Linked DNA regions of Schizosaccharomyces pombe. The gene in region 1 interacts genetically with each later gene. Each region holds a gene or a part of one and is shown in the gene's direction. Other genes may lie near its edges.

Region 1 (4,076 bases):
CGGATTCTTACCATTTGTATAAGCGAAATATAATGTAGTACCACAATTTTTACAGAAAATTCTTTCAGCAAATGAAGATGAAGCGTATTTACCTACATTCTCATTTTCAGAGACACTGGGTTTTTGAGTACAAGAAAATGCCATAAATGGACTGGAACACCATATTCTGCAAGTTTCACAATGACAACAACTAAGTTTAGGTTCTTCAATTATTGCCTTTAGGTGAATAGCTTTGCACAAACAGTTGCCTTCGTATTCAGGCATGATTTGTTGCTAAAATGTTCGTTGTAGTGGAAGGATTGAACGATCATCATATTTGACTATCCCGCATCTTTTATATCAAATTGTGTAGCTGAAGTGACAGGAATAATGTTCTTATGATTTCATGATTCGGATACCACATAACCGTGGCCATCCTAGATAGCAGTAAATGATTAAAACATAGAACATGTGGTTTGCATTGATGGCAGGTTTCTTTAATAATGTGATTGTTTTTACATTTTTTGGTTTATTAGAAGGTGGAATTGTATAAGCATTAAATTGCAATCTAGACAGTGAATCCTAGGTATATGATATGCCTCACGAATTTGATGGATGCTTTACAAAACCGAGTTACAAGCAAATTCCGTAGATTACAATATATTAAACAACCGCTAATATCGTGACAATATCTTCAACTGATGCGTGGGACAAAGCTAGCGTGGGTTTGACTCATAAAATAAAGCATATATAAAGACTATAAATCATGGGAACTTTGATTCAGGCGTCTTCAAAATAGTACCCGGCATGATTTTTACATTTAGGATTGAATGGATGATTACAGTATTTGCAATGAACAGTAGAACGGTATTCCTCTACTGTCAGTGAATTCTTGCAAGCTCCGCAAATTACACAAGGAATGTGAAACTTTGCTTTCCTCCAAGGTAAAAACGGATGTGTATTGAGTTCATCATGACATTGAAAACACGCATAAAACTTTTCACACTGTCCACATCTTAATGCCACGACGTCGGCTTTAGAATGATAATGAAAACAACGAGTTTCATTATCGACGAGTTTCCCATATACGTTAGTTGAAGAACGAGCCGTAGGAGTTTGCATAATTGCGAATAAGTTGATTTTAGCAACAGTTTTACATGTACAAGGGAAGTATTCGGAATGTTTATACCACAATTTGGAAAAGTGTTTGCTATGATTAGTTATATTTCAAAACAACCATTCGCATAAACGAATTGATATAATTCGAAAAGTGCTCTAAACGACAAATTTTGCTATACTTAAGTGGAAATGAAAGTGTTTTTTTATGACCACTACTACTAGTTCAAGTGAGTCAGTAACAAAAACTTTTTGGTTATTACGATCCCAAATTCTGCAAAGTAAGAGATAGATGGCTAAGAAGTTAGAAAGCTATGCAAGATATCAAAAACGAAATCATCAGTACTAAATCTTAAGTGAAATATGAACTATTAATGTTGGAAAAAAATCGACACCAGCAGGATTTGAACCTGCGCGCGGAGACCGCAACAGATTTCTAGTCTGTCCCTTTAACCACTCAGGCATAGTGTCTGATACTTCTATGGTTAATTAATGTTAATATAGTAAATAAAAAAATGAATATTGGGTTACAAGTTGTCATTCGACTAAAAACTCTTCAATTGAATATTTTATTTTAATTTTAATACAAACAATCTTAAATTTTCTCGTAAGAGAATTACTAAACCATATACCAGCTAGAATTTTTAATGATGTGAACTCGCTCTCAATTTCTATGCAAATTTGATTAATAGTGACATTACGGATAGTGTGCACTTATTATACCTACGAATTTGTATATTATATTGGCTTTATATGATTATTATCTTAAATTTTAATCCCATTAAGCACATACTAAAACCCTTCTATGTATAACGCAGGGCCTTATTTTACTTAACATACTATACTCTGCAACCCATTATCTAGGTATGTTTTACGTAAAATATGTAACAAAGAAAATGTTACCCTGAGACTACTGAAGAACTACCCTGGGAGATGCTTAAGACAACAAAAATTGCTGACTTCCCAATAACCAAATACTTTATAAAAGGTGAAATTGTGTTTCCGTAAAGAAAAAATGAGCATCAACTGGGTTACATATAAAGAAGGAAGTGAATCTGACATACTTCTCTTAGAAAATGAATGTATGTTTGATTGTTTTGATGGAGTCGCAATTTCGATACTGTGCAAACCTCCATCATTGAAATCTTGGACTTGCACAAAAGGTTTACTTTGCTTAACTAATCAACGACTGGTTTATATTGCAAAGGATACTGACTGTGACTTTAAGGATTTTCAATCCCCTGTTGCAAACTTGAAGGATACGAAACTTAATCAACCCTTTTTTGGAGCAAATTATTATTCTGGCACAGTAATGCCTGTGCCAAATGGTGGTATACCATGCGAAGCTGAGGTAAAATTACAGTTCAATGAAGGTGGCATCTTTAATTTTGTTGAAGCATGGAACCGTCTAATTCAAAGATTCCAAGAAGTTGACAGTGTATCTCGTGTACAACATTTAGATCCATTACCACCTTATCATCGTCCAAGCTCCAGTCAAGATCAACCTCCTCACTATGAGGAAGCGGTTAACAAATCGTAATTCCTTTTATCAACTGCAACTCGTTGTGTCCGTCCTTTTTATTTAATCCTTTGCATACCCCTTTTTTCCGCGACTTTGACTTTTTGTTTTCTCTTTTTTTTTTCAGACTTAGTGTGCATAACTCCCCGCGTCAATTACTGATTACTGATGATTTTTAACCCTCATAAACCAATTCATCTATTCCTTTGTTGGGGTTTGTACTCACTGGTCTACATTTATGATCGAAACATGTTTTCGATTACATGTACCATGTTTACGCATGATTTTCCTTGATGTCCACAAATTTATATATTCATTATCCATTGATGTGCTGTAATTATCATATATTCAAAAACTTTACTTTGCTTGACTTTTAAGGCTTTTAATGCAGAAATGTCAAAGTGATATTTCGTTGTAATGGTTTCCCTTTCTCATTAACCCTCTTGCAAATACCTATTATTGCTCTCTACTATATAAAATTGCAAGTTATACATTGGACGCGTTAATGGCTTTTTTTTGTTATTTTCACCCTTGTATCTTGCGCAATAGAGCATCTATGTTTAACAATTAAAAAAATGGGAACTATTTTCGAACTCGTTTCAGGCTAGATTTCCCTTATGTTTGTTGGTTTATAGTTTCCCGAGACAAATCTAACACAGTCTTCCGTCCTTGCTTTAAACTGTTGATCTTTTGCTGACATGGTTATATTTACAATTTTGCTGAGGCAAAAATACGAAACCCTTAATAAAAACGAGGTCAAGTACCTCTTCAAACATTATTTAATATTTGTCGGTATGAGATCCATAAATTTGATGATGAAATTATTTAAAATGAAATTTGTTTATTTATTTTAGTAGATCGTTTCCAGTGATCACCGATGAATAATCTTTACTTTTATTAAATAACACAAAAACCAGAAAACTTATATTAAAGTAAAAGATTCGGTTTATTTGTGTTATAGAGGGAATAAAAGGTTTACTGTATAAGAATTTACAGGTTAATTTGAATTTACACAAAGTAGTAAAAATGGTTCTGATGCTGCTTTGTTTTTCCGAATAACTGAGAAGGAAAAAAATTATTGCAATGTCTAAATTTAATCATTTGCGAATTATAATGCAAACAATAAGATATTTCTACGAAGCTACTAAAGGTTACTTCTATAGGTAGTATAAATTAATATTTGTACAGATTTTATTATTACCTTAAAATAGTCCCTTTTTTTTGTTATATCTATGAAATGAAAAAAGTACCTAACTGGATTTTGGTTTTTTTTTTATTTTCACTAGGCAAATTGATAGTAAAACTAACACAATGCAACATTAAAGAATCTTAGTATCGTTAATCAACAGTCAAAATAAATTGTCTATTATGCAACAAAATATTTCTAATAAAAGGACTATTTATTAAGTCATGCTACACATTTGAAATTTTTTGCTTGTTGTCATAGTATACTTTGCATGGG
Region 2 (4,945 bases), on another chromosome or scaffold:
AGTACTTAGTGAGTAAATACGGGAATAGGGTTAGCAGTATCAATGGCAAAAAATTTACGCTCCATTCCATCTTTATTTAAAATGACCATTCGAATGGTACCACCACTGCTGCCATCGCGTTCCATGGCTAAAGCAACAGCGTTCTTTAAAAATTCAACAGCCTCCTCTTGGGTCATATTTTCGCGAAAGTTAGCATCGCAAAATCCATAAATAAAAGCAGAACCACTTCCTCCAATAGCTAAAGGTTGCTTATGCAAACTACCACCTAACGGAATACTGTAAACATCTCCCCCAGTTTTTTCATCATATCCAGCAACAATTAAACCTGCACTAAGCATATTTTTGTTTTGATAACACATTTCAGAAGCTAAAGTAGCAGCTGTATGAACACTAGGGTCATGGCCAAATTGAATACTTCATAATCGTTAGATAATTTTTTTAACAACAATAAAATGAAAAATAAAACATGCAAAAAGGCTTTAGTAATCATCTAGTAAACATAAGGACTTGAGAGTAAGTCGATAGTTTATTCTAAAGGATAAACCAGCTAAAGCAGCCTTAATTTACAGTCATTCGGTTCATTCAAGGGTAACTTACCGATACATGGAAAGATAGTATTTTAGAAGATCAGCCACAGTTTGCGTATCAGCAGCAGAACCACTGCGACAGCACCAAATATTGTCTGTCAGCTGAGTCAGCTTATCAGTGACACGATTTGCAATATATGCACCTAGCAACGTTAGAAATCAAAGAACGAAAAGTTCTGATATTCCAATACACACCCATAGTTGTTCGAGAATCTGCAGCAAGTATAACGCCATCTTTATAACGGAGCGCCGTGATGGTGGTACCCATACGAATTTCTCTACAAAGTCAGAACTTTCAAAATCAATTTCCCGCAATCATACCCCTTTTTAATAGCATTAATGTCAACATTCATAGTATCTTTCACAGTAGTGGCCATTTTCAGAAGTTTGGTGAAAGGTTAAAATGATTAGGGACTTGTGTATGGTATTGAGAAGCAGCCAAAATTTAGGTAACATTGCTACCTGCATATGAAATTGCAGTATGAATATAAAAAATTGTTATTCAATTGTAAAAAGTGTTGAAAGAATTCGTATATTTTTTAAGAAATTCTTTAACGACTATAGATAAGGGTATAGTATTAAAAATTTTTGATCAAAAGTTACAGCCGACTACAGAGTTATAACCATGGATTGAACTTGAAAGTGCTCAGCTAGAAATTAACATAGGAAAGAATGAAAGAATCTAAAAGTTTGGGACTAAAAAGGTTTCTGAAGATTTTGTTTTCTTAATATTTGACGACTGCTTATATTTGGTTTACTTACGCAAATAACATGAAAAAAACCATAGCTATTGAAGAATGAAAATAATATGACCATGATCTTTTAACAAAAAATGAAGATATTGGAAGTTCGACCTGGAATGATGTATATATATTTACGAGAATTTCTTACGACGGATCTTCTAAACTGTGAATTAGGTATCATGTTATGTTTCATTTCTAGCGAAGCAGAATTCCAAGCAATATTGAGGTGATAGGGGATGTTCCAAATTCTGTTAATCGCCAAATTAATTTTGGAATTAAGGCAAGAAGCATTTCATTAACTACAGTGTATTTTGCTTATTTTAGTAAGGCAGTATCCCAAAGACAACTGGCTTTCTAAAAATCTCTTTTGTTTAGGTGTCTGTTATTTCAACAATATGTACATATATATATTTATTTATAAACTATTTCAAACATATTCAAGCAATTTATTGCTTTTTAGAGCGAATATCGCCATGGATAGCTTAGCGTGAGCTTAAAACATTGAATTAAAAAAATTTTCATTGCCGTTCCAAATTGTATCGCTTTCGCTAATGCTATAAACACCCAAAGCAATTTTTTTGTACTACCATCTTCAGGTCATATCGAAGTATCATTAATGCGATGTAAGACTTTGATGGGTATGATAAGGCTATCAAGCTGCTTAATGAGCATTTTTTCTTTGACAATTCGACCTTTAATTTATTGTTTACATGGCATATTCTACGTTTTAAATTTATGTAATAATGACGAGGATTGGAGAAATAGGGTACTCTACTTAGTGTTTACATCCTTCACAGAACACAACTCCAAGGCCAGCAACTCCACAATTAAATGCACGGTGTTTCAGTTGGAATCGAACAGCAAACGTAAAGTAACTCAAACACAACTTCATTTTTCATGAAAACCTCTTTTATAAATGATGGATCTGGAGCATAAACGCATTAGCCGAAGTACATTGCCGGATTATGCGGATCCCGATTACTTCGAGGCTAGAGGTGAAAGAAATCCGGTAAAACCTCAGTCTTCCAACGTAGTACCAGGAACAAGTCATATAGGATCGATCAAATCTCCGGCGGATTACGTTTTTGGTGACATTATAGGAGATGGATCATTCTCAAAGGTAAGTTGATACATTGCTTCTCAGTTCAGAAGTTTTTCAACCGCAGGTCGATTAACCTATGGACCTTCGATTACTGACGAATAAGTTGTCTAATATTCGTTAGGTGAGAAGAGCAACTGATAAAAAGAGTTGGAAGGAGTACGCTATCAAAGTCCTTGATAAAAAATATATTGTCAAGGAAAATAAGGTTAAGTATGTGAATATAGAGAGAGATTCTATGATGAGACTTAATGGGTTTCCTGGTATCTCTCGTCTTTTCCATACATTTCAGGATGATTTAAAACTTTATTATGTGCTTGAACTTGCACCCAATGGTGAACTTTTGCAATACATCAAAAAGGTATATTTTTTCATTAGTCTATTCATTTTTCCTTTATTAACTAAGCTTTGGTAGTATCGTTTTCTTGATGAGAATTGTGTGCGCTTTTATGCTGCTGAGATTTTATCAAGTATCGAGTATATGCACTCCTGCGGTATAATTCACAGAGATCTCAAGCCAGAAAAGTATGTTTGAGTAGTGGTCATTAAATGTTCGTTTCCTTTTCCTAATTCTAACCTATTTTTTAGCATTTTATTTGATGGAAATATGCATGTAAAAATTACCGATTTCGGCACAGCCAAAATCCTACCCCCTAAATATGTAAATAGCCCTGATTACACTACCTTTCCAAGCTCCTTTGTTGGCACTGCGGAATATGTTGCTCCTGAACTATTGTCTAGACAAGTTGTTTCAAAATCGTAAGAAAACCTATTATCCCAGTCTATTTTTTTTCTGACAAATATTTAAGTTCCGATTTATGGGCTTTTGCGTGTGTTGTTTATCAAATGATTGTTGGTTCCCCTCCTTTTCATGGCAGCAATCCTAATAATATTTTCAAAAAGATAATGAGCCTGGAATATGAGCTTCCAAAGCTCTTACCACCTGATATCGTTCCTTTGTTTAGCCATCTTTTCCGTATTCAGCCATCTGATCGATCTACAACCCAACAAATAAAACAATTTCCTTTTTTTGCTACTATTACTTGGGACAATTTATGGACTCAAGATCCTCCTCCTATGCAGTCATTCCGGCCTAATTATAACATAGCCATTCCTAATGCTCCTGCTTATTATCGCTCAAATGTGACAGCCGCAGCTGCTGCTAATGCTGCCGCGGCATTTGCTTCTGCATCCATTGTAAAGCATCAGGAAACTGCTCGACGTCAGGAGCTTCCTACGGTAAATCGTTTCACTGCTCCAACTGCTCATTATGGCTATGCTTCACTTCGAAGCCATCAGATGCCTGTTGACAGACTTTATTACAAGTTGGTTCCATCGTCTGAGTCGATCATTGAATCTACCTCGGTCTTCGTATCACCCATTCCAAGTGTACCTGAGGGTAATAAGTTTCCATCTGGACTCTCAAAAATGTTTTTGAAAAGAAAGCAAAGGGTTATGCTATTAACTGATGTTGGTCGATGCGCTTTTGTTTGTAAAGGAAAACATGAGAGACTTTTTATCGAGATGGAGGTGAACTTGAAGGATTCCAGTGTTGTAGTGATTTTTGATGAAAATAGTTCCAAGCGATTCTTGATTGAAGATAAGGTCCAGTCCTGGATAATAGAAGACAGTTCCGGGGATGTCACCAAGTATAAAGACAAAATCCTTAAGTTTGCTGATGTTGCGTCTTCTCATCAATCTCGTTCTTCAGAAGAGAATGTAGAAGAGAACGAGGAAGAGTAACCCCATACCTTGTTTTATTTGATTTTTCAACCCATTTACTACCTTCTTTATATTTTATTATTTGTCGTCAGTGTTTTGGTAATATTTAACTATTTAAGCTATACATAATTAGAAATTACGACGCACCTAGGAAGTCGCAAGATGGAGAGGTATTATGTATACATATATATGTATAGTATTTATAATATATATACTTGAATTAATTTTATGTTAAAATTCCATTTCTTTTGGTGAGATGTTAAAATTATAATATTAGTAAGAAGAGAGAGTTAGATAGGATCGATTTAAAGCGCATACTCTTGATACCAATAAAAGTTTTGTGGTATCAAGGAAATAATGTTTATCAACGTTCCAAATTAAAACAGAAAAAGAAAATGATAAATGTTCAGGACCCATTATGCTAAGCTCTGTGATATCAATCCTCATCTTGTTGACATATGTTACATCATGTGGGCCACAATTAATAAAGCTATTAAAAAAGAGTTAGAAATATCAGTTTCTCTTACTTTTAGAAGAATTTTCAGAAGGCATTTTTTCCCAAAATAATTGAATTCTAGCAAGCAGGGCGTTATCGTTTTGAATGGGAATAACACCTGACAGAGCTTGCATTACTACTTCAAAGTCTGCATCAATTAGCGTGTCCCACATTCCTTGTATAACCGCAAGAGAAGTGGCTTGCAATAACCTGACAGTTTGACCTTTGCTTCCACCTAATAAAAACAGGAGATCCCATATACGTAATTGAGTATGGAAGGGCACGCATTGATGAAAAA

The links.
Region 2: mutations in SPOM_SPAC29B12.11C (region 1) and pdk1 together harm fitness more than expected from each alone (negative genetic interaction), as found in Schizosaccharomyces pombe (one large-scale study listed by BioGRID).

What each region holds. Positions count from the first base shown.
Region 1 is NC_003424.3:5,435,237-5,439,312, reverse strand, and holds SPOM_SPAC29B12.11C (WW domain-binding protein), read left to right. Parts: upstream 1-2,060; 5' UTR 2,061-2,110; coding exon 2,111-2,635; 3' UTR 2,636-3,441; downstream 3,442-4,076. Other genes in the region: SPOM_SPAC29B12.13 (S-(hydroxymethyl)glutathione synthase), read right to left, coding at 1-264; hot13 (protein TIM chaperone), read right to left, coding at 760-1,101.
Region 2 is NC_003423.3:3,113,688-3,118,632, reverse strand, and holds pdk1 (serine/threonine protein kinase Ppk21/Pdk1), read left to right. Parts: upstream 1-2,123; 5' UTR 2,124-2,246; coding exon 2,247-2,450; exon of another isoform or gene 2,451-2,553; coding exon 2,554-2,790; intron 2,791-2,844; coding exon 2,845-2,954; intron 2,955-3,017; coding exon 3,018-3,188; intron 3,189-3,238; coding exon 3,239-4,172; 3' UTR 4,173-4,402; downstream 4,403-4,945. Other genes in the region: proteasome core particle subunit beta 1 Pre3, read right to left, coding at 6-414, 598-730, 783-865, 909-964; SPOM_SPBC1778.09 (GTPase-activating protein), read right to left, coding at 4,665-4,945.